Linked DNA regions of Drosophila melanogaster. The protein of the gene in region 3 purifies or fractionates together with the protein of the main gene of each other region. This does not show direct contact. Each region holds a gene or a part of one and is shown on either strand. Other genes may lie near its edges. The genes, in order: mRpS22, Rs1, Vdup1 and CG9795.

What was found.
Region 1: the proteins of Vdup1 (region 3) and mRpS22 purify together in Drosophila melanogaster (affinity purification with mass spectrometry, with the first as the bait; one large-scale study listed by BioGRID). This does not show direct contact.
Region 2: the proteins of Vdup1 (region 3) and Rs1 purify together in Drosophila melanogaster (affinity purification with mass spectrometry, with the first as the bait; one large-scale study listed by BioGRID). This does not show direct contact.
Region 4: the proteins of Vdup1 (region 3) and CG9795 purify together in Drosophila melanogaster (affinity purification with mass spectrometry, with the first as the bait; one large-scale study listed by BioGRID). This does not show direct contact.

The regions. Positions count from the first base shown.
Region 1 is NT_033777.3:27,915,122-27,918,787, forward strand, and holds mRpS22 (mitochondrial ribosomal protein S22), read left to right. Parts: upstream 1-1,786; 5' UTR 1,787-1,880; coding exon 1,881-3,062; 3' UTR 3,063-3,127; downstream 3,128-3,666. Other genes in the region: CG5003 (uncharacterized protein), read right to left, coding at 1-221, 275-436, 490-612, 671-941, 1,027-1,307; Boh1 (buddy of Hmr 1), read right to left, coding at 3,137-3,666.
Region 2 is NT_033778.4:8,161,588-8,168,270, forward strand, and holds Rs1 (Rs1), read left to right. Parts: upstream 1-1,976; 5' UTR 1,977-2,180; intron 2,181-2,412; exon of another isoform or gene 2,413-2,477; coding exon of another isoform or gene 2,478-2,919; intron 2,920-2,980; coding exon of another isoform or gene 2,981-3,015; exon of another isoform or gene 3,016-3,120; intron 3,121-3,209; exon of another isoform or gene 3,210-3,282; intron 3,283-3,292; exon of another isoform or gene 3,293-3,353; 5' UTR 3,354-3,368; coding exon 3,369-3,461; intron 3,462-3,519; coding exon 3,520-4,344; intron 4,345-4,362; exon of another isoform or gene 4,363-4,461; intron 4,462-4,528; coding exon 4,529-5,261; intron 5,262-5,321; coding exon 5,322-5,865; intron 5,866-5,926; coding exon 5,927-6,080; 3' UTR 6,081-6,182; downstream 6,183-6,683. Other genes in the region: RagC-D (Ras-related GTP binding C/D), read right to left, coding at 316-637, 699-841, 901-1,119, 1,183-1,653, 1,735-1,737; CG30373 (uncharacterized protein), read right to left, coding at 2,478-2,919, 2,981-3,015; gasz, read left to right, coding at 6,456-6,539, 6,603-6,683.
Region 3 is NT_037436.4:175,968-180,474, reverse strand, and holds Vdup1 (vitamin D[[3]] up-regulated protein 1), read left to right. Parts: upstream 1-1,511; 5' UTR 1,512-1,642; intron 1,643-1,839; exon of another isoform or gene 1,840-1,978; intron 1,979-2,169; exon of another isoform or gene 2,170-2,601; 5' UTR 2,602-2,637; coding exon 2,638-3,093; intron 3,094-3,146; coding exon 3,147-3,329; intron 3,330-3,395; coding exon 3,396-3,785; 3' UTR 3,786-3,973; downstream 3,974-4,507. Other genes in the region: CG7049 (uncharacterized protein), read left to right, coding at 4,272-4,507.
Region 4 is NT_033777.3:4,318,137-4,325,693, reverse strand, and holds the start of CG9795 (uncharacterized protein), read right to left. Parts: upstream 6,012-7,557; 5' UTR 5,908-6,011; coding exon 5,804-5,907; intron 3,850-5,803; coding exon 3,647-3,849; intron 3,347-3,646; exon of another isoform or gene 3,199-3,346; intron 2,464-3,198; coding exon 2,072-2,463; intron 2,008-2,071; coding exon 1,805-2,007; intron 1,742-1,804; coding exon 1,530-1,741; intron 1,358-1,529; coding exon 1,184-1,357; intron 1,107-1,183; coding exon 1,022-1,106; intron 965-1,021; coding exon 883-964; intron 822-882; coding exon 205-821; coding exon of another isoform or gene 195-204; exon of another isoform or gene 1-194. Other genes in the region: Syt14 (synaptotagmin 14), read left to right, coding at 7,067-7,112, 7,185-7,346, 7,406-7,557.

The DNA.
Region 1 (3,666 bases), on a different chromosome or scaffold from region 3:
GCCCGCGATGTGGACGGCTCGTCATCGCTAAGCACTTTCAGTGAATCAGGCTGCGGGGAAGCAGCTTCGTCAGTGGCGTTGCCGTTGGTATTTTTTTTAGCAACGGCTTGTTTGGAGTGCAGGATCTGTGGCGACTCAAGCAGCAGTTCCTTGAGATTCTCGATAGCGCTAAAACACTGCAGATCTGAGTTGTTGATGGGCGTCTGGCGAAGATCTAGTGACTGAAATAAATAACCCTTTATAAAGAATATTCGCCGATTGCACCTATGCCAACCTCTAGTTTTTGGAAACCGAAACGTGCCGCCATGCTGCCATAGGGCACAAACTTGCATAGCGCCTGACAGCCCTTAAGACTAAGACGCCGCAAGGAAGGTAACTTCGACAGGCCCATAATATAATAGGGCTCGAACCAGCTGTTGTCCTCAATACTGAGATCCTAAATAAGACGGGGTTAGGCTATTCATTGGACTGTCGTTCGCTCAAACTCACCTCTAGATCAAGCAGATGCAGCTCTATGGAGTAAAATATGCTTTTTGGCGTGTCGCCGACCCTAACGCTACAGTCCTTTAGCTTCAGACGCCTCAGAGTGGCCGGGAACTCAGTTATGTGTATCTGAAGAAAAGATAAAATTGGGGTAGACCAGGGAAACTTGCGAGATGCCAGCACTCACGTATTCGAAGTCCAGGCTGACGCCCTCCAGCTCCAGCACTTTAAGCTGTACAACCCTGGGGAAAACGGAGCTTAGCGTTTGGGTGAACTGGCGGAATTCGCCTGCAACATGCTGCGAGGACGGAGGTCCGCAGATTTTAATGGTGTGTGTCTTTTCGGTGGCTCGTCCAAGAATCTCTTCTAGGATGCCCATAGGCAGGGGCCCGTTGCTTAAGTCTATGTGATGATAGAAGCGGTGATCCAGCAGGAGGTTTTCAAAGCGCGGCGAGCAACTGGAATATTACGGAATGTTATAATATGGAAAGGACATGGAAATCTCAGCGACGCAGAGATCTTTGTTGATAGCGGACTACTTACTGCATCACCGCCAGAATGGAGGACGTGTCCAGGTACTGGAAGATCTCGAAGAGCAGCTCATCACAGAAGTCCATGAGGTTGCACTCCGTTTCCCGGTCGAGGGATTCCTTATGCTCCTTCTCCCTTTTGCGCTGTTTTATCTCCGGCTCCTCCTCGGTAGGGATTTGTGGCAGCACTGGCTGCACGGGCACGGCGGCCAGCTCCCGCCCACAACGTTCGTTGTCCGGGAAGCGGCGCTTAGGCGCTGCAAGGCACGTACTGCCCAATTCGGCCTGTTCCATGCTTGGGCTGCTCCTGCACTTTATTGCCAATTTTCGCCAGCAGCTTTTTTTCCAGCTAAATGCAATTGGTCAAGTGTGACCGCAGTCAGATCCCGAGATAAGCCGCTAGTAGGGGTATTCCTATGTCGAAGAGATGAAACTGGCTTCCGAATTTCCCGGTAATTTTTAATGTCGTTTTTATTATTATATTATTTTTTTTCTTGATTATTACGATTTGATACTAAAGGCGGTGGCACTAGCTGCTCATAGTTATACAATTGAGTCGTCTGGTAAAATGGGAACAATAACAAGTAGTTAATAATCGTTTAATTCTTATGTAGATAATAAAGTTGCCTATTTTGCTATTTTCCTATTTCAAACAAATATTGCATATTATGAATGAAATTTAAAAATAAGGCGCATTACGCATGTGCATGTGCATTAAAAAAGTTATTATACAAATAGAATAAACACATTAAATTAAATAAGATTCCTGTTGTCATTACTAGCAAGCAGTGTTGGAAAACACCGTGCTGCCCTCACTAATTTCTACACCCGTCTCGTGTATTTTTGTGCCTGATTTACTGACTGAAAATGCACCTGCTGCGGAGCCTGCGCCAGCTGAATGGCCTCCAAGGAGTGCGCCAAGCTATCCGGCAGGTGTCCTCGGCGCCCACCAAGCCCGCCGCCCTGCAGTACGAGCGCGATCCGCAGCCGCTTTTCACGGATGCCGAAACCCAGCGGCTGCTCCAGTCCATGACGCAACTGAACTTGGACAAGGTGTATCGGAAGCGCACGGTGCCGGACAACAGCAGCGAAACGAAGTTCATGAGCAACGAGCAGCTGGACAACGAGTTCCAGAACTTGGTGGTGCGGGCTCAGCAAATTCTGCAAATGCCACCCATTGTGCAGATCAAAAAAGATGTGGAGCGGGTGATAGCCAAGGATACGGCGCTGAAGGACTTCGCCAACTCCAAGTTCGTATTCACGGACATCACCTTCGGCCGACGGCAGTCGGAACGCAAGGTAATCGTCCGGGATATGGACGGAACCTTGGCCTACGCCACTCTTGATACCACGAAGCGCATGAACCAGTTGTATTTCCCGCTGGAGGGTCGCCAGTCATATACTCCACGAATGTTCGCGCTGGAGGAGCTGCTGGCCAAGTGCTTGGCGGAGCACAAGTACGAGTTCATCCTGGATCGACTCTTGGTGCAGTACGAGCCACATGAGCCGGAGTTCCACAACATTTCAGCGCGTGTGTTCGAGCATCTCAACGAGTCCAAGGAGTTCGATCTTCTGCGCTCCACCCGCCACTTTGGACCCATGGCCTTCTTCTACGCTTGGCACCGCTGCATCGACGACCTGCTGTATGACATGATCCGTCGGGATTATCTGCACAATGCCGTGGAGCTGATTGCTCTGAGCTACAAGCTACACAACATCCCAGTGGAGTATCAGGCAACGCTGACCGAACTGGGCAAACTGCATGCCACGCCGGCGGAAAGTGCCCTGGCGGAGCTAAGAAGCGTCTTCCGACGACATGACAATAAGCAGAACATTGAGCAGGAGATCCATACGGCCATTGGCAAGACGGAGCACGATTTCGCCGCCGATGAGATCAGCCTGAAGTTCATTGAGCAGTACATCGCCAGCGAACATGCGCTGAAGAAGGTGCAACTGGAGCTGGCGGTGCAGACGCTTAAGGAAGTTAACCGGGAGAAACTGATGCTGTTCCAGGGACTGAAAAAGGCTCACGGCGTCCAGGCTTCGTAGGATCTATTCGCTTTATTGTTATCGATTTCTATGTACTAATAAATACCAGCTAGGTCAAGATTTCTATACGCTGTTCATAGCTCCTTCTTGAGGACCCTGGACAGCCGTCTAAAATGGCCAAGGATGCACTGTCTCCGGTGCCGCAGGCATACCCGCTCGCTGCTGAAACGCTTCAAGCAAACTGAGCAACGTCTGGGATCACCTCTTCCATTGGGCAACCCGTTGTGTTCGCGAAATAGGACGACCACTTTCGCCTTGGCACAACTCTGTTCTTTTTTTCGGTGTACCAAAAGAGAGGTGGTGGTCTTGAAGTAACGTTTGCACTGAAGACATCTGTAGCACTTCCTGCCGCTATGGTTTCTCAGGTGCCTGAGCAACTGCATCTCTGAGTGGCTCATGGCGTTGCAGAGTAGATGTGGGCATTTAAAGAGCATCGATGACTTCCTGGGCGCTAGAGCGGGACAGCTCAGACTGTGTTGCTTCAATTGTTTCTGGTGGTCCAGACGCTGACCACAGCGAAAGCACAGAGCACCAGGTCCATAGTGCGCGGTCATGTGGCTCTGGTGCTCCAGCAAGGTTTTGGCCACATCGCCGCACACCGCGC
Region 2 (6,683 bases), on a different chromosome or scaffold from region 3:
AAAAAGTGATCCCTAACATCTTTGTTTGCTATTTTATACTGGTGCGCTGTAACGTAACAAAAATTAAGGAAATAAATTAGGCAAGAGCACACTCGTATTTAAAAATAGACATGTTTATTGGTAGTATTATCAATAATTTCAACCGCTGGGCAATTTTTTACGCTGCTCTGTGAGAGTGGCGTCCTAACGTATCAATAGACAAAGGTAACATCAGATTTAACGGAAGAGAACGTACAAATTGGAATCAAAGAGTCCACAGAGAAGCTAGCGTAGGGGGGCAATAAAAGGGGCTCTCCGCTTGGGGATGCAGTGCGCCTAATTAATTGGCTGCGCTCGCGAAATTCCACCTGCGTCGTGGCCATGGCGAATCAGGGTCTGCTCATCGACCAGATCATCGTCGTCCTGGTCGTTGTTCTCCAGCTGCTTCTGGCGCTTTAGCCGCAGCTCGAATACCTCGCTGATGGCGTCGCGGAAACAGATGAAATTGTAGTCGATGACGCCCTGCCGGTTGAAGTTCTCCTCGCGCAGGATGCAGACCAGGGCCAGGAACTTGTTCACCTCCCGCAGGTAGAGTATCGTGTTGTTGTTTAACTTGATGAGACTAGAGCTCCCGCTGTCAAAGGCGGTTTCTTCGGAGCTGCGGTAAAGCAATGGTTATTTAGGCAAAGCAGCAAATACATCGAAATTAGTTAGCTTGCCTGTATATGCTGGACAGATCAATGACCACGTCAATCATATCGCAGCAGAGCTCATACGTCTGCATATCGACTGGTGACGAGTCCGTGGCTATGTAAATTTTGGAAACCACATCGAACAGAAAGGCTTTTTCTATTCCGGAGTTCTGCAATGGATAAGGAATTAACTGCGTAGTTCAAAAACAACAATGCAAGTTTCGTGTACTGGTATAAAAATGTTCAGCAGATTCTCCAGCGTCGGAAGCTGGGGAATCAGCTTCTGCACCACCTTGGAGAAGGCCTCGAAGATGGAGTGGTCGTATATGGAGGTCAGATGGAAACTCAGGTGGATCTGATCGAGGCCAGCCTCGTTAAGGTCATCCGACGACCGCTGGTGTATGTCCCGCTGCGATTCCATTTTCGAGTCGTCGCTAATTCCATCCACCTGGGAAAAGAGCATGTGTCGCTGGGTTATCAACACGATAAGCGCCCAACTCATGGATATTACCTTGTGTATAAACACCTCGAACTTGATGCGCTTGTTCACTTTGTAGGCCTGCAGCACTGTGTTCTTGAACTTGGTCAGCGCCTCGTTGTAGTCATCCTTGGCATCGATGACAAAGACCAGGGCTCCACAGCCTCCAAAGATCATGTCAGAATCAAAGGTCGGCTCGAAGAAGTCAATCTGGCCGGGGAAGTCCCAGATCTGGAACTGCACAAAGCTGGAGTTGTTGATGTCGTCCTTCACGATCTTACTGGTCGACTCCAGGAAGAGCGTCTCGTTCGGCGACATCTTGTGGAAGACCACTTTTTGGATGGAGCTCTTGCCGGATCTGCGCATTCCCATCAGCAGAATGCGCGGCTTTGTCTCGCTGCTGCCCGTTGCATTGGGCTCCAGTTCCAGGCCATCCTGGTTGTAGGCCCGGTAGCCAAAGTCCTTGGGGAACGTGTCCGCCGGATAGTCATCATCATCGTAGCTCTGAAAGGGCGTGATTGGGTGCAAATCAGTCGGTTGCGATGGGCGGGGGCCAATGGCGATATGGCTTCTTTGTCTACTCACCATGCTGTCGGAGTCTACCGCCTTCCACTGGATTCTGGTTTTGGGGGTGGGGCCGGCCGTAGGTCAACGGATGTGTGCATGAAACGCACAGGCAATGGCTATAGCGGTCACGATCAGTTTACCTTTTTCTGCTTTTCCTGCGCGTTTCTTATCGCAAACACAGTGTGTGCACACCTGCTAACCGAACTCAGCTGTTCCTATCGATAGCAATCAGCTGGCGCGATTACCAAGGATGCTGCCGTATGGTCACACTCCGACCACGTAAAAAAAATTGGCGCGAATTCATAAAAAATTTTTAAGTCTTATACTTTTATACTATAGTTTATAATCCTTTTCAGCTTCTGCGCCGCGTGATAAAAAGAAAATAGGCGGGCACATGCCGTACTCAAGTATATAATATATTAATCTATGTGATCGGGGTATACAAAGGAAAATGATTTGCATTTGTAAGACTAAAGCTATAACTTTGATGATTATTTTTAGCCGATCCTATTTAAGAAATCTCATATTATATTTTTACATTAAATTACTTTAAATGAAGGGTTATTTAAACAAGGAAGCCAATATAATATTCAATTTCAGTTAAACAAACAAAAACAACCAAAAATTGATTGCAAATATCACCAAGCCATTAAAAAAGATTAATAAATAATTTACCCTGGTAGAAACATACATCTTCTAGTTATTAAAAATGTTTAATTTCACTTAACGAAACAAAAACGTACAACAAACCAACCCTACGACTACTGGGCGGCCAACTTGGCATCCAACTGGCCCAGATCAACGCCCAGTTCCCTGAGCCGTCTCTCCTGCTCCTTGGTGTCCAGTCCGTGTTCCTTGTTGTACCTGTAGTTGACAGTCAGCTGCACCTCCTCCAGACCACTGACATGCTCGTACAAGTTGCCCTCCAACCGGAGATCGATGTCGCTCTCCTCGCGCAGCGCACAGAAGTACAGGAGGAAGATGGCCAGGCTGGCGGAGATTACGTAGGGTTGGTACCAAAGGGTCTCGTCGCTGCCACCACTGCGGGTGTCCTTGGCGCGCCAAGTGGCCGCCTGGCTGCCGAAAAACTTGATGGGCTCATCGCTGACCATGTCGTCATCCGATTTTTGGCTGGCTGCTCCTTGGTTCTTCGCATAGAAGCGGGATGCAGGTGGAGTGGCGCCTGTCGCTGGCATCAGTTGGCTACGAAGAGAGCCTATTGTTACTACTGCTGACTAGGTATTGTATCATTATAATAACTCACCGCAGCACCCTTGTTTTTGTAAGCAAACGCAGCATTTTCGATGGGAAACTCAAGCAAATTTCATAACAAAATTGGTTAAACAGCTGACGATTTAGAGATGAGAGCTATCGCCGGCACGCAATTTCGTGATGTATTGATGGCTTGAAAAACAAAGTAAAATATCAATTATGATGAAAATAATATGTTGATTTTACTTAGTAAACTTATGTTTATGGTTATTTGAAATTACTTAACATTAAAAGAGCAACAAACTAATATTTCCACAAATTCCACCCACGCTTGCAAACGATGATTTGACCACCGGTTCGCCCATCTCTAACACGCCACACGTGTGTTTTAAATTGTAAACACGCGCTGGTGGAGTTTTGAATAGTTCTTTGCTTCAAAAATGGGTGCAACCAAGAACCTGGACTTGATAGGCACCATCGAAGACGATGCCGAGGTGGAGAACTTGTCGGAGGACTCCGATGCGGAGGTCGAGGTAGGTTGCTCACACTTTTAAAAACGATAGCAAAACTGAGTTCCGAGTGCCTCCGCAGTACCAACCCACAAAACTGAGACACAAGAAGGTGACGGAGTTTGAGAAGGGCTTCGAGTTCGTGTCCTCAGTGAAGGAGTACAACCAGGACACTTGGGACGACCTGATGAAGTACGTGAAGCGAAAGGCGCGCACAAAGACCGACGACAAGATCGCCGCCCGGCTGCAAAAGCGGGGTGGCGCCGAAGCTGTGGCCGCGGAGCAGAGCGATGGAAGTGAGATAGATCTCTCCGAGGACGAATTGAAGCATGACAACCTGCGGCTAAGGGAGAAGAAGGAATCCAAAAAAAAGAAGAAGAAGGCTGGAGAGGAGGATGAAGAGGACGAGGGCGAGAAGATGCAGTTCGCCGACACTGTAGAGGCGAACGAGCAGATCACTTCCTTCTACCAAATGAACCTTTCACGTCCCCTGATGCGTGCCATCGGTGTGCTGGGGTACATATATCCTACGCCGATCCAGGCCTCTACGATTCCTGTGGCTTTGCTAGGTCGCGATATCTGCGGCTGTGCTGCCACGGGAACGGGCAAAACTGCTGCTTATATGTTGCCTACTCTAGAACGTTTGCTGTATCGTCCTCTTAACAACAAGGCCATCACCAGGGTACTGGTTCTTGTGCCCACTCGTGAGCTGGGCGCCCAGGTTTACCAGGTGACAAAGCAATTGTGCCAGTTCACCACTATTGATGTGGGTCTGGCAATTGGTGGTCTGGATGTGAAGGCTCAGGAGGCAGTACTTCGCCAGAATCCCGACATTGTCATTGCAACGCCAGGTCGTCTAATCGATCACATTAAAAATACGCCCAGTTTTACATTGGATTCCATTGAGGTAAGAAATCGAGGTGAATTTAAGTTGATGATTCTCCATCCTTGCGCTCTGAGCTCTTTGCGGAGCTAAGAGGATAACCTGGTTCTTGCTTCTGCGCGGCAGATGCAAGCTGATTCCACAGGCATTGTGTTTCCTACGTTTACTTTACCTGAATAACTTAAATATCTTTTGATATCCCGAACAGGTTCTCATTCTGGACGAGGCCGATCGTATGCTGGACGAGTACTTCGCCGAACAGATGAAGGAGATCATCAACTCCTGCTGTAAGACACGTCAGACCATGTTGTTCTCCGCCACAATGAGCGAGCAGGTCAAAGATCTGGCCGCCGTATCGCTGGACAAGCCCATCAAGGTGTTCGTCAACAACAACCAGCAAGTGGCCTTCAATCTGCGTCAGGAATTTATTCGCATACGTGAGGATAAGGAGGGCGACCGTGAACCCATTCTGGCTAGTTTGATTTGCAGGACGTTCCATGATCATTGCATGGTATTTGTGCAAACCAAAAAGCAGGCCCATCGACTGCACATTTTATTGGGTCTCTTGGGCGTCCGGGCCGGCGAACTGCATGGCAATCTCACCCAGCAACAGCGTCTGGAGTCCCTCAAGAAGTTCAAGGAGGAGCAGATTGATGTGCTTATCGCCACAGATGTAGCTGCTCGTGGTCTCGATATTGTGGGCGTAAAAACGGTAATCAACTTTGTGATGCCCATCACCACAGAGCACTACATCCATCGAGTGGGTCGTACGGCTCGAGCTGGGCGTGCTGGTATATCCGTTTCCCTGGCCGGTGAAAAGGAGCGCAAGATCGTTAAGGACATTATCAAGAATGCGGAGAGTACCATTAAGAATCGTATTATTCCGCCAGAGATTATTGAAAAATATCGCAACAAACTTACAAGCTTGGAGCCAGAGATTCGTAAGTTTATATAAATGTAACATTTTCTTAATTTGCGGATGTAAATGTATTGTTTTGTAGAAAACATTCTGGACGAAGAGCAGGCTGAACGGCAGCTAGCCAAAACGGAGCAACAGCTCTCCAAAACGGAGCGAAAGCTGCTGGGACAGACCAACGAGCGACGTGGTTGGTTCCAGACGAAACAGCAACGCGAGGCGGAGAAGGATCGCTTAGCGTTGACAACCGGCGACGAGGATAAAGCATCTGGTGGAAAGGGTAAGGGAAAAACGGCCGGAAAGCGTAAGCGACCCGAGTACGGAGGCGATGGCGAGGATGGACCACCGGTCAAGGATCTCGAGGCAAAGCGCAACAAGAAGAAGAAGGAGGAGCCTCGAAAGAAGACACCGGAGCAGCTGGCCAAAGAGCGAGCCATGAAGGAGATCGAGAAGGTGTCCCTTGTGCGCGCCAAGATGGCCAAGCTGCGCAAACGTCCGGGCAAACTAGGAGCCGCCACCGAAGTTCACAGAAGCGGTGCCTCCGACGGCAAACCCAAGCGACGCGGCGGTCAGTCGGCATTTACTAACGACTTGACCGATGTAAGTCGTGGCGGAGCTCTGCGTCTAAGGTGAGTAGCTCTTTCTCGCTTTTCGTTGATAGTTGTTCTAATTTTGTACACCCTTTTCCAGGTCCGAGGCCAATCGGCACAAAAAGATGACCAAGATCGCTGCTAAGAAAAAGGCGAGCAGTGTGAAGCTGACAAACAAGGCGGGAAAGAATAAGTTCAACAAGGGCAAGAACTTCGGAGGACCTCGTCACGCCAAGAAGGATAAAAAGAAGTAGAGCTGCAAACTACGCTATGTTAAATCGTATACTTGTAAAATAAAACTTTTTCTTCTTTAAGGCATTTAATTTTTTTAATTTGCTTTAAACATATGACACCTCAAAACAAAATTGCGAATCTGCATAATCAGAGTGTTAAACTTTCTAATATAACTGCAAATTTACTATTGCTTAAATTAGTTTCGGTTATCTTAATTTAGCTTAGTTTAAAAAGCGCGCCATGATATCGATAAAAATCGATTGTGCAAACTTTTTCAGAACCTCGCCTCCCCTCACTAGTTTTGTTTGCCATTTTCCTCCTTTCGCCTTTTTCCTGAATTTGGCCACAATTGTTGTGTGCTTAAACTGCTAAATTAGGTTTATATAAGTACCTGTATGATGAGCAACCTTTGCAAATACGGACCGCCCCCAGATTCCGACTCTGATAGCAGCTACGATGGATTCTACTTCTCGGATAAGGTATGTGTTCCTTGTTCTGTTCCTTCTGGTGTTCCTTGGGTGACTTGAGTAATTTCTGTATAGGTGAAACGCTCGAAACCAGCTCCTTACGTGGATCCCGAGCAAAAGCTCTACGATGCAGTCGTCGCTGGGGATCTCAAGACG
Region 3 (4,507 bases):
AGTGATGAACTAGAATCAGCCTTCTTCATGTAAACACTAAGTTACTCACGGAGCGCTATTATGAGTGTCTTTATTGTTACAATTTTAACTTTCTCGCGTTCCACTGGCCCGACCGAAGACAGTTTAAAGTTTTCGATGCGAACCGTGCCTTACCAGCGCGCTCGGTATCTTCGCCACAACTGAGCCACTGCCCCAAGTCGGACATAGAAGCAGCTCGATTTAAGGGAGAGCGTGCCAGAGAGGTGAAACAAGGCAAGAGCAACGAAAACAGTGGCCAATGCGCCCAGCCAGTTGGGCATGAGAAAGTTTTGCAGGTGTAGCTCTGCTACACCTCTTGTTTTTCTCTTTGAGACTTTACGGTATCGTTGGTAAGTTTATGGAGTGGACCAGCCACTCCCCCTTGGTGATTGATGTTACACCAAGATATTCTCTGCCTTCACGTCTGGCTTTCGCTATTATTATAAGAGATGGAGATAGGCTTACTATAGGTTCCTCAGCGCCGGACTTTCAGAAAAATGATAAACAGAGCTGAGATTCGGAGATCGGTTCGGTGGTGCGCGGAGCAGCTTTGAAACCACACTGACTTTAACTCAAGAATACTTAGTTGTGGGCTCCACGAAACTTCGAGCTCAAGCGATTATCATTTTGAACCAAACTAGTATAGACGTCTCTATTCGAAACAACCTAATTTTCAGATACTCTATACGTCGAGGCCACAAACGGGAAATCTTTGGAGTCTCGTTGAAATCTCTCTTCGCGGTAAAGACTTGGGTCATTATAAAACAACAACTCCCAGCAATTAAGCCGAGAAACATTGAAATGGAAAACTATAGCCTAGCCATTGCTACTAAATGTCACTAATGCCGTTGGAAGAAATATGAAAAGCTGGAAAAGTTAAATACGAAAGTGATTTGTTTTCTCTTATAGCCAGCATAGTCTTCAAAACGATTGATTTCTTCAGTCCATATATAGTTTGACCATCGTTGCATCTCTACTCTTTCTAATATTATCTTATACTTTGTCGATCATAAGGATAACCTACAGATTCCTTTTAATAAAGTTTTCAAGGTATCTGCCACAGGACTCATTTTTTGACTAATTTTCAGGGTATAGCCATAGCTTGCCACAGCTTGCCACAGGCTGCCGAGCCATTCACCGATTCGGTTTTCGCAGCCAGTGATAGTTTGCTTGGCTTTTGGCCTTTCATTTTCATGAGCTACAGTTGAGGTTCTTCGATTTGGGTACCTTAAAACAACAAATAACCGGTATTAAATGCATGCATAATGCATAAATGTGTGCCACTTTATCCATTTTAGTCTGCACACGATTTGTCGACTATGGATAAATACCTGTAAAATATGGGCTTGGTGTTGGAAATACAGATTTATTTTCTAGGTGCAACCGAGTAACACAAGATACACCTGCTGAGCTATAGCGGGGCGACTCTGCGAGCATTGCCATATTATTAGCAAATTGCTCCTATAATCGATTCAGTTTGAACAGCTTAGCTAACCGTTGAGGTGACAATTTGGTTCTCATGCTCGTTTGGTCTTCTGTTGTCTGTGGTGCCGTTCCAGTTTTTTCCGTTTGAATTTATTCAAGAAGATACGCGCTTTGCGTATCCTGTAAGCCCGCTGGAAAGGTAAATTCAGCCATGTATTACATGAATGCAAAAGATAGTAAAAACAAAAGCGGGCTACTTATTGGCATTACGACATCAGCTGGCTCCGGCTGGGCCTCTCTCAAACGATCCCTCGCAAAAACGCGCTCAAAACAAGTTTTTCAGTCGAGCTCTCGTCCGCAAACTGATGCATAACGACGACGACGATGACGACGACGGTGATCAGTTGCCAAACAAACGCTCGAGAGCGTGGACGAGATCTTGCCAAACGAATATCGCTCAAAGGCAGAACGGGTTAAATCGGTTCGGTTTGGACTGGTGTTCCGATCTGGCCAAAAAACACCTTTGTGTGTACAGGTATTTGAAAAGCGATCATTATTTCAAGTGCGCCCACAGGGATGAAGAGAAAACAATTGATCTGTTGTGGATAAAAACAAAAATGTTGAACAATTTGAATGTAATCATTCCAATGGCAGTGTACGGTTGGGAATCCGCTTTCCACTAGGAAATTACGTCAGTTTTCTTTTCGGTTTCTGTTTCCCAATCAGGAATCATCAACATTGTCACCAGTGCACCAAACAGGCTTGCCGACAGTCGCAGTTGCAGCTTACGCTTTTGGTAAAGATGTACATACTGGAGTTTTGCCCAAATTTGTAGGCGCGGGCGTGACACGCCCGACATGCTTCATGCGCCGACCTTGCAGTTGATGCTTAAGTGTTCGGGGCTTTCGTGCTGCATAGTTGTGCACGCAGCCATCTCTTGGCCGTACGAAACTGGTTTTGTTTCCTTTGCCCGCCTAGATGCTACCCACATAAATATGCAAACAAGCGCCGTATGTATGTGAGACCGTAGTCCGTAGTACATGGTCTCAGACCTAGCCAGCTATGACGGATAAGTTGTCATTAACCATAATGACGCGTGCGGAGCGGGTCAAATATTTGGCAACCGTGTTCTAACGAATTTCGTTGGTTTTTCCTTAGGCGTACGAATGAAATCGGCAACAAAACAGAGGCACGATGCCGCGCAAGTTGCTTAAATTCCTTATCATCTTCGACAACACTTCCCTCCTGTACTTCCCGGGCCAGTTTCTCTCCGGACGGGTTCTAATCGAATTGCAGGATGAGACGCCTGCTTTGGGACTTCATTTCCATGTGGTAGGCGAAGGGGTCGTGCGCAACGGGCGGCGACAGGAGCGGACATACGATAAGGAGAACTATATCGACTTTCGGATGCGACTTCTGGGGGACGTAGACCAAGGAGGTCCAGCTATACTCTCGCCAGGAATTCACAGCTTCCCCTTCAAACTCGGCTTGCCACTGGGTCTTCCATCTACATTTCTCGGTCGGTACGGCTGGATTCAGTTCTACTGCAAGGCGGCGCTCCGCGAGAACAATGGCATTATCCATAAGAACCACCAGGTCTTCATTGTGATGAATCCCATCGACCTAAACCTTGAAAAGCCCATCTTAGCAGTAAGTAGCTTTAAAAACCCTGTTTAAAAAAACTAACCTTTCGCCTGACTCAGCAACCGTTCACCTGCGAAGTTGAGCACAAGCTAGGCGTCGTCTGTGTTGGTGGAGGTCAGATAAAGTGCAGAGTGTCCCTTGATCGCGGTGGGTATGTGCCCGGCGAGAATATTCTGGTCACCGCATTTATATCCAACTACAGTAATGTGTCCATTAAACGGACTAAGGCATCCCTCACTGAGGTCGGTATCGCTTTCAAGTGGCTAGTTACAATTCATCCATTTTGATCTTATTTGGATTTTATTTAGACCATCGAGTATTTGGCGCGGGGGAAGGTGGTGCAAACGGAAAAACGGGAGCTGGCTGTTTTAGTTCGTGGCAAGATCCGTCCGGGGGCCAAAGACGAGTGGCACAACGAGCTTTACGTTCCACCCCTGCCGCCGACCAATCTTCATGGCTGCCACCTGATCAAAATATCCTACGACGTCTTCTTCGTGATCGAACCCAAGTCCATGGAGAAGGAGATTAAGCTACAGCTTCCTATCGTGCTTGCGACGTACCCCTTTCGACACTCCGGTGATGCGGTCAATGCCAACACCTGGCCGGAATCGGTGCTTAAGCCGGACACGCACACCCACTATCCGTCCACACTACCCATATTCCGGCCCTGGCTGCACGAGAAGCCTATCGAGGCATAGCCCGCAGCTTTTAGGATTGCTGTGTATCACAACTTGTTAAGACCGATTTGCGCCATACAACAATTTAAACTTATTTAACTTATACTTAACGTTTTTTAATGTTTCTGGTCTTTGCATTTGTAGGTCTTCCGTTCCCAAAAATTTGTTCATGATTGAAGAATTTATAACAAATACAAACGAAAGTTAACATAAAGACCAGACTTTGATAAATTATAATTAGCTCATATACATAACTTTTTATAAAACCTAAATATTGTAGGTTATATATTATTAAAATGGTAAAACTGCACTCATTAACCTTCTAACTACTACTAAATGGTTATAATAATAATAATAATCCCAAAAGTATGGTTGTTGAAATTGAAATAAATTGTTTAAAACGTTACAGCCTAAAGTATGCTATTAAAAAGCTGGCTTGTTCGGAATTTAAATTCGCGAAATTAAGTATTGATTCCAAAACTAAAAAGGGCCACACTGCACGTTAAGATGACAACAATTATATTAGTCCTCTTTATTTGGATAGTTTTATTCAATGACGTATCCAGCGACTGTGGCTGCCAAAAGCTCGACCGGAAGGCCCCGGATATGCCGTCCATTTCCGGACAAGTGTGCCAGCAACGAGCACAGGGTGCACACAGCCACTACCGGGATTACTATGGCGAACTGGAGCCAAATATTGCGGACATGTCACTGCTTCCGGGAGGCACGGTTTACATGGGTAC
Region 4 (7,557 bases), on a different chromosome or scaffold from region 3:
TAATGTTGCCCAGTATAAATAACCATTGAAAGATAAAAAGGAAGTGTACAATTTGTAAGTTTTAGGATTAGTTACCAAGCTCAGATAGTGATTAAAATGATTAGTAGAATGTGACTAAACGTATATTTAAAACGTCCATGCAAGTGAAAGTTAACGGTGATGGGTTAGTTTAAAAATGTAGAACAGAGCATATACTACACCCACGCAATTATACGTTGATTTGTCTCCTTACGTACGGAGGCCGCCTCGCTGCGCTCCCGCTTTAGATGAGCGTGGTCCTTCTTTCGTGGTAGCAATGGCGGTGGAATTCCCGGATTGATCTGGTCAGAAGCCAGCGCAAAAGAGGGAGGGCTTCTAACTGCTTGCTTTTCTGATTTAGGTATCTGTGAGTGAGGCGTTAAGTTGGAGGGAGATTGATGACCGATGTTCAAACACGATAAACTGTTGTTGCCAGTCAGGGATAATTCTTCTCCGTCCAGTCCTACTTGCTCTACTAACTGCTCCTCTTCTATTTCGTCGTCCTCTTCCAAAGAGTGTGTCGTTTGGATAGGCGTTTGATGCATTGTTCCATAATGAAGGTTTAAAGATTTTGCCCGTCGTATTCCGAGGGCACCGGAACCCACAACTCCGCCGCCACCCCCATTCGGAAATGGCTTTCGGAATCCATGGGATCGGTCATTTTCGTAAATAATGTCGTTACTGATTGGCCGCTGGTTATAACAACCGGCCAGAGCTTGACGAAGGCACTTGTTTTCGGATTCCAGATGTGAGAGGCGTTTGTTAGTCTCCTTTTTCTCCAGTCGCAACTGCATTACTTGGGTCTACAACCGAAATCGAATTTTTAGCTTTTAGCTTTTTATGCACATTTATTTTAGCACTCACCTTTAGATCGTCTATATCTCTCAGAATTCGGACATTTCCCTCGTTTAAGGAACACTGACGTTCTTCAACCATTAATTTTACTCTGAGAACAAAATGTAATCAACACTCTAAATATACTTTTTAATTTTCGACTTCTTACCGACTTAGCAGTGCATCTTCGCGTATGCGCGCTGCCTCCTTCACTTCCCGCACGACATCCGTCATCATTCCTGGAGTGTAGGCGCCTGAAAAATGGGAAGCGAATATAACTTATTACTCACTCCTTTGCATGGCATAGTTGGGGGTAGCGTTTATGTTATACCTGAGTGAAATGTGGGCGCTGGGCTGTGTGTCCCTCCCAATCCACTGCCAAGAATAAGAGGTTGACTTTGTGTGCTTAGCCCGCTTAAGCTATCTCTACGGTGCCGCATGCCCCCAAAGCCTACACCTGCCCAGTGCTGGCTATTAGGGGAGTGCTTTAAAGCTTCGATATCAACTATGATTGTGTTTGCAAGTGCAAGGGAGTACATAGAAAGAGGAAATGGGTGGCAACACATTCTAATTAGCATACGAGTACAAGTAAAATAAATCAGAGATTTGTGTAATTTTGTCGTAATTTGGGAAGCATCGTGACATCTAAACTGGACACAATCCTACAAACCACACACCTTTTGTATTATGCAAATTCCGGCAGATCTTGGAATTGGTGTCGTGCAATATGTTTATTTGTTCCATTAGAGCCGCGAAAAATTTGTTTTGATGTGCCAGATCACAGCCACTGCCATTGTTGTTCACATTTCGACACTCTGGTGTATTCTGGCCACTCAGCTTAGAGTCATTATCGGAGGGGTTCAGTAGGCACGGATCGCTGAACCGAAATCTGTTATCACACGGTAAGTACGGCTCTTTAATAATTCATTACGAATTTATTGTTTTTGCTTACCCCTTGGTAAAGTTGGGATTGCTTTCGCTGCCATCCAGCACATCCGTCGAATTCGGTTCCTGATCGCACCCAAGCCCTTCCGGCCCTCCCATCATGTTGTTCAGGGGAGGCAAGCTTGCAAACTCCTGGCCACCATCACCATAGCTGTTAAGGCTCTGGGGTGGGAAGAGCATCGGATATCGATGGCTAAGAGAGTTCGAATTCTGTAAAAATAAAATAAAGTTGGGTGTGCGTTGTACAAAATATCTTGCAATAGCAACTACTCACGCGCTGTATCCCCAGGCTAAACGGTGTGCCTGGACCCACTCCGTAAGGCTGGGTTCGCTTCGAAAATTCCTGTTGCCTCTGCTGCTGTAGTTGCTGTTTAAGCTGCGGCAGCTGCTGCTGTTGAGTCAAAAACATTTGCTTATGAGCTGGTGCTGTGGGCGGTATGAAGTCCAAAAACTCAGATGAAGAAGACAATTGGGCGTTGGTGGCATCACGTAAACAGCTCTCCAACCAGGCATCAAGGTGATCGTTGGAATAGTTAATATCGGTTCTCTTGACCTCACCGATGTTCGTTTGGTTAAGAGAGGTCGCCGCTGCTTCAGTTTTTTGGGCCAATGGGGAAGGTGGTACGTTACGCGACCTTAGTTTCTTGCGCTTGGTGGCATCCGTAGCTGAAGGAGAATTTAATTTGAGGTCATCTTGACAATTTCAATAGTGCAGGTCCTAGTGTGGACAGATTACGTAGCTAAAGGCTTCACGGCTTTCACTTCCAGCATTGACAAAGTGAAAACTATTACACGAATTCAACAATTCCGGACGTAACGCTCAACTCGGCGGCTAAACTAGAGTTGTCTAAGTTACTTTAGCCCAGAAAAACGTCTGGGGCAATTTGAAGCAATTTTAAGACTATTTTGGTTCGTTTTTCAATTGTTAAAACCAAACGGTTTTCTTTAAGTCAAGCAAATACTTGGTTTTTATAGATTGAGCAAACTCGATGCCCCTTTCGATAAACGGCCAGTAAGGAGAGCAAGGAAATTACTCAGAAATGCTTCTAAATGTTGAGGGATTGTCACCGAACCTTGAAAATATACATATTCTGGATTAGGATCACTAGCCGAGTCGATCTATCAATGTCCGTATGTCCGTCGAGGTCTCGGATACTATAAATTTCATAATAAGAAGCAAGCTTGTTTTGCAACTAACCAAAGCTGACACTCCCACCCCTAATTTGTTGTCATTTGACTGTATATATTGTTAATTTCTATTGATTAAAACTGCCACGCCCACACTATTGAACATTTTCAACTTTTTAATCAGATGTATGTATACTCATATACTTACTTAATATACATATGTACTTTATACTGTAATATTAATTTTAAACAAACAGTATATATTTTGCCCACCTTATATAATTCGGGAGTTAGGTAAATAGTTTCCGTTATTTCAATGATATATCTCGGACAAAGGCATCGTAACAAATAAAATTAAGTCGATTACTGACCGTGAAATCAGTCAGTTTGAATAGATTAAATCTTTTCGTAATTATAGTGGCTAAAAATAAAAGGAACCTTAAGATCAAAAAATGCAATATAACATGTTTATTATATCAAAATTAGTACAACACAGAAGAAACTTAGAGGTTTCTTAACTTTGCAGGGAATTATAAAAGGCGTAATGTACAAAATTAACCTAATTGATTTATTATTGTGTTTTGTATTTATTTAACATTTCACTCACTGATTTGGAATTTAATGTGAATTTTGAGTTTATAATACCAAGTTCTTTAAAATAGACTTTATAAACAACCTAGATTAACGGATATTCAATATTTCGGACGATGATCTCGCTCACCTCTCTGTGTACTGTTCAGACCCGCTCCAGTAGTGACCTTTTTCTGGGCACCGATCCCGCCGTTATTTCCTGGCGTTAAGCAAAAGCTGTTGCCAGCAATCAGCGACGTCACTTCTGCGGGGAAATCCAACCCACCGCCGTTTGTGCTTATCTCCCTCTGGCTGGAAGTTGTCGTTTCCTCCCGCAAAACGCTCATGTTGCTTCTGAAATAGAAAAAATACGGATAGTTAAGTATTGTTAAGCGAGGTTTTTCATTCGTGCGATTCCGCAGTGGACCATAAAAACTGGAAGCACACAGAAATTAACCCACGAAAGACTCGATGTTTGTACCTAGTGCACTTGGGGGAGACAATAAACAGAAGTGAAACAGCAAGAAAAATCCTCAAGTTACGTATGCAATCCCTGGAAACAGCCGTACGATTTCTCCAAACACTTGCACGACCACCGTCACAAACTGTGCTGTGGTTGCAGAATATACAATGTAAAAACATTTAAATGTATGCAGGCACAGACCAGTGGAATGGCACTTAATTGACGAACAATAAACATTTATTCACTTATTGATCTACAAATGAATTTAGACGAATTCACTAACAGATAATAGAATTTTCCAGCGGTAGCCCTAAATCAGCGTTTTGTGTCTATAAAATTGTCAATGAGGTTTAACAGTTTACAATACGATTGATAGTTCAACTAAAAAACCTATTTACCAGTTTTAAGCGTTGTTTCTATTAGTATGTAACATCTAGTAATACGTTCGGGATGAAAATAGGCGGTAGCTTGGATTCAAGATAATTGTATCTACTCCCACTTTAACTGACTAAGAACGACATTGGCAGTAAACTCTGGCCACCAAGATGAACGTCAGTCAAGTATAAAGAGAAAATAAACATTCGCCGCTTTTGGGTCAAGTTTTTTTTTGTTGGTGGGTGGTTGCCAGCAAATATACATACTGCAAGTGAAGACATACCAATAAGCATAAGGTATTTGGCAGCCAATTGAAGTGGCTGGTGCGTAATCTATGCAGTCGAGTTAACCGAAAATTAAGCCGCCAAACCAAACCGGTTTCACCGCTGTGTCTAATGACCTTTCCATTTAACAAATTTTAATGACACCAATAAAGAAAGGCTGCGTTGTCAATGGAGATGGTGACATGGCCCACAGCGACTCCTTCCCGCGATCAATGACTAAATGCACACGGCGACAAAGAGCTGGAAGAGCGAGTCGCTTGGTTTGTTGACCCAATCGAAGAGCACTATACATACATATGTACTTCGATTGCTTGAGCTATATTGTAGCAAATATTTAAACCCTGGCAAAAAATGTGAATTAGATATTGACTTGGCTGGCGATATTGATCAGGAATAGATATACTTGATATGGTCGCAAATATCTCCACCACTGCGTTAAAACCTTCTAACTGAAATTAATATACATTCTGCAAGGGTATGAAGAAATTAGGATTGACAGAAATGGAGTTGACTTGAAAGTTGAATACTAGCTTAAAAGCTCAAAAGACCGGGAAACGACATTGTAAGTTTTTGTAGAAATTCCAAGCATCTACAGCTGGGATTCCCACGCCATTGCTCACTGGTCCACTGCAAAAACTTGCTTACAATAGAATATTTTCTAGAAGCTCTGCGAGGATATTTTATATATTTGGAAGTACACATATATACCTAACGAAAAATGCCTTGGTTGTTAGATTCAAGGTTAGACAAACTTTTATTTTCATACAAAAGCGTTATATTATATGTATTTAGACTGCACTTTGCCAGATTCCAGTTCGGCTTCGTGCTGCTTTGTGTCGAAAAGTTTTGACACGCGCTCAACTCTGGTCTGGGCTCTTGGTACGGGAAATCGAGTTTTCAAATCCCTGTTCCACCCCCATCCCACCCTCTCGATTTTCATTGTGTGCGAGTGACTGCTGCGAAATGAAAAGCGAAACGACATAAGATGACGTCGTAGACTGGCTTTCTTCCTCCTGCTAGCTCCACCAGCAATAAAGAAACGAAGTAATCGACGCCAAGGAGGTGGTATCACGGTACCACCGCGGTATTCCGCTTTGTGGGGGGCACTGAGCACTATATTTAGCTGTTTAGCCATAATCATATTATCAGAAGCGTCTCAGCGGAATTTGGCACACACGGCACTCACACTTGCCCAGTGGCATTGGCCATCCAAAATTTACTTGCGTCACAATTGCGGATTAAATGTATTGGACTTTCAAGCACGGCGTGGGCGCGGTCACGGTTTTGCATACGGTGTTCTGACAGGCGGAAACATTCAGTTTGAGCAGCGACAAAAAATTAAGCGCACAACGGAACTGAGCCAATTCATTAGGCATTTATTTTAGAGGTGGGCAATCTGCGATGTGCCGTCAAAGCGATGACTTTCGCTGGAACAGCGATTGTTGCGATTATCGATACCTGCTGCTCGGAGTGTTATCTGCTATCGAATAACAGCGCATTTCATGTATGTAAGCATGAGTAGCTCTAAAAATTTTGACCTAAATTATAAGGCTCTTTTTTAAACAACCGGACAATTACCTGAATGGAGCATACAATGTGCATTAATTCTGATGCACTAATTCCGCTTTTCTTAATTATTTGGTTCAAATTTTTGAACATCAATAACAGGCAAACGGTCTTGGTCTTAACATTTTATGAAACCGTGGCTACGACTAACGTTTAAACCTTCGAATGCATACGACACGGAGAGAATTTTTATTCGAGACATTCTAAACAATTACAATTCAAGAAATCACAGCACAGCACAACCAATAAAAAAGAATCCCGTTTCTAAGTTTTCAGCTTAAATCATCCTCCCAAACACAAAAAAATAAGCAACAGTTGTTACTGCGATGCAACTGTCGAAACGGAGCTTTTCCGAGCCCTGTGTGTACACACACTGGGGGTGGAGGGATTAAGCTCCAAAGTGCTTGCTTTGAAGCAGTTTTTCCATCGAGTTTAAGGCAGCTCATCCTAATTCAGTTGAATTAAATCCTGAGCCGTTTGATTTTTATTTCTGAATCTCTCGTTGCATGATTCGCAGTTTTGGGATCGTGCCTTCAAGAAATCGAAAGTGATTAATAGGATAGAACAGTATAGTTGTTCCTTCTATAATTTGTTTTACGATTTTGCAACCAAATCTCAGATGAACGGTTCCGAAATACGGAAGGGCCAAAAAAACGGGTAATTCGGAGTACACCAGCTTCCAAACGACTTTTTTGCTTTGATCCCTAGTCGTTGTCTTGCGAAAAATCGATTCCAGTTATCCTGCGACGCTGTGCTGTCAAATTCCTGAGCTTTTGCTTTCACGCTGCAGTGAGAATAATTTTTAGTGACTTGACTTGTGGTCCGGGTGCAATGAGTTGCGAGTAGTAGACTCGTGTTCGCCAGGATCCTCGCATGAGCCAAGATGATTGTTACCTCCGCTTCTGGACTGGATAGCACTCCGACGCTCGGTACGTAAAAATGTATATGCACCCCACAAACCACACCATTCTGACCTGAGCCGTGACTGTTAAATCTTTCAGGCACCATCGAGGTGACCACTTTGCTGGGCGCCTTTTTCGGCGTCCTCGTTCTACTGCTCCTGTTGTTTCTTTTCATCAGTCGCAAGTGCTGTTTTCACTACCGCCATGCCATCAACTGCTGCGACGAGCGCCACCTTGCAGTCAAGTGTGTGCAGAAGATCAGTGAGTACCGTGTTTCGTGGGGATTGGGGCTGACTGGCTAACTTTTAAGTATCCCGCAGCCCGCAAAAGGCGTTACGAGAACACCAGCTCCGACTCGGAGGAAGACATCTTGAGGCGCCTGCGGTGGCATCAACAGCACCAACTGGGCGAGAAGCCTGGCGGATACGGGCTGGGAATCAGCCAGGCTAATCCGCTGACGGCGCAGAGCTTC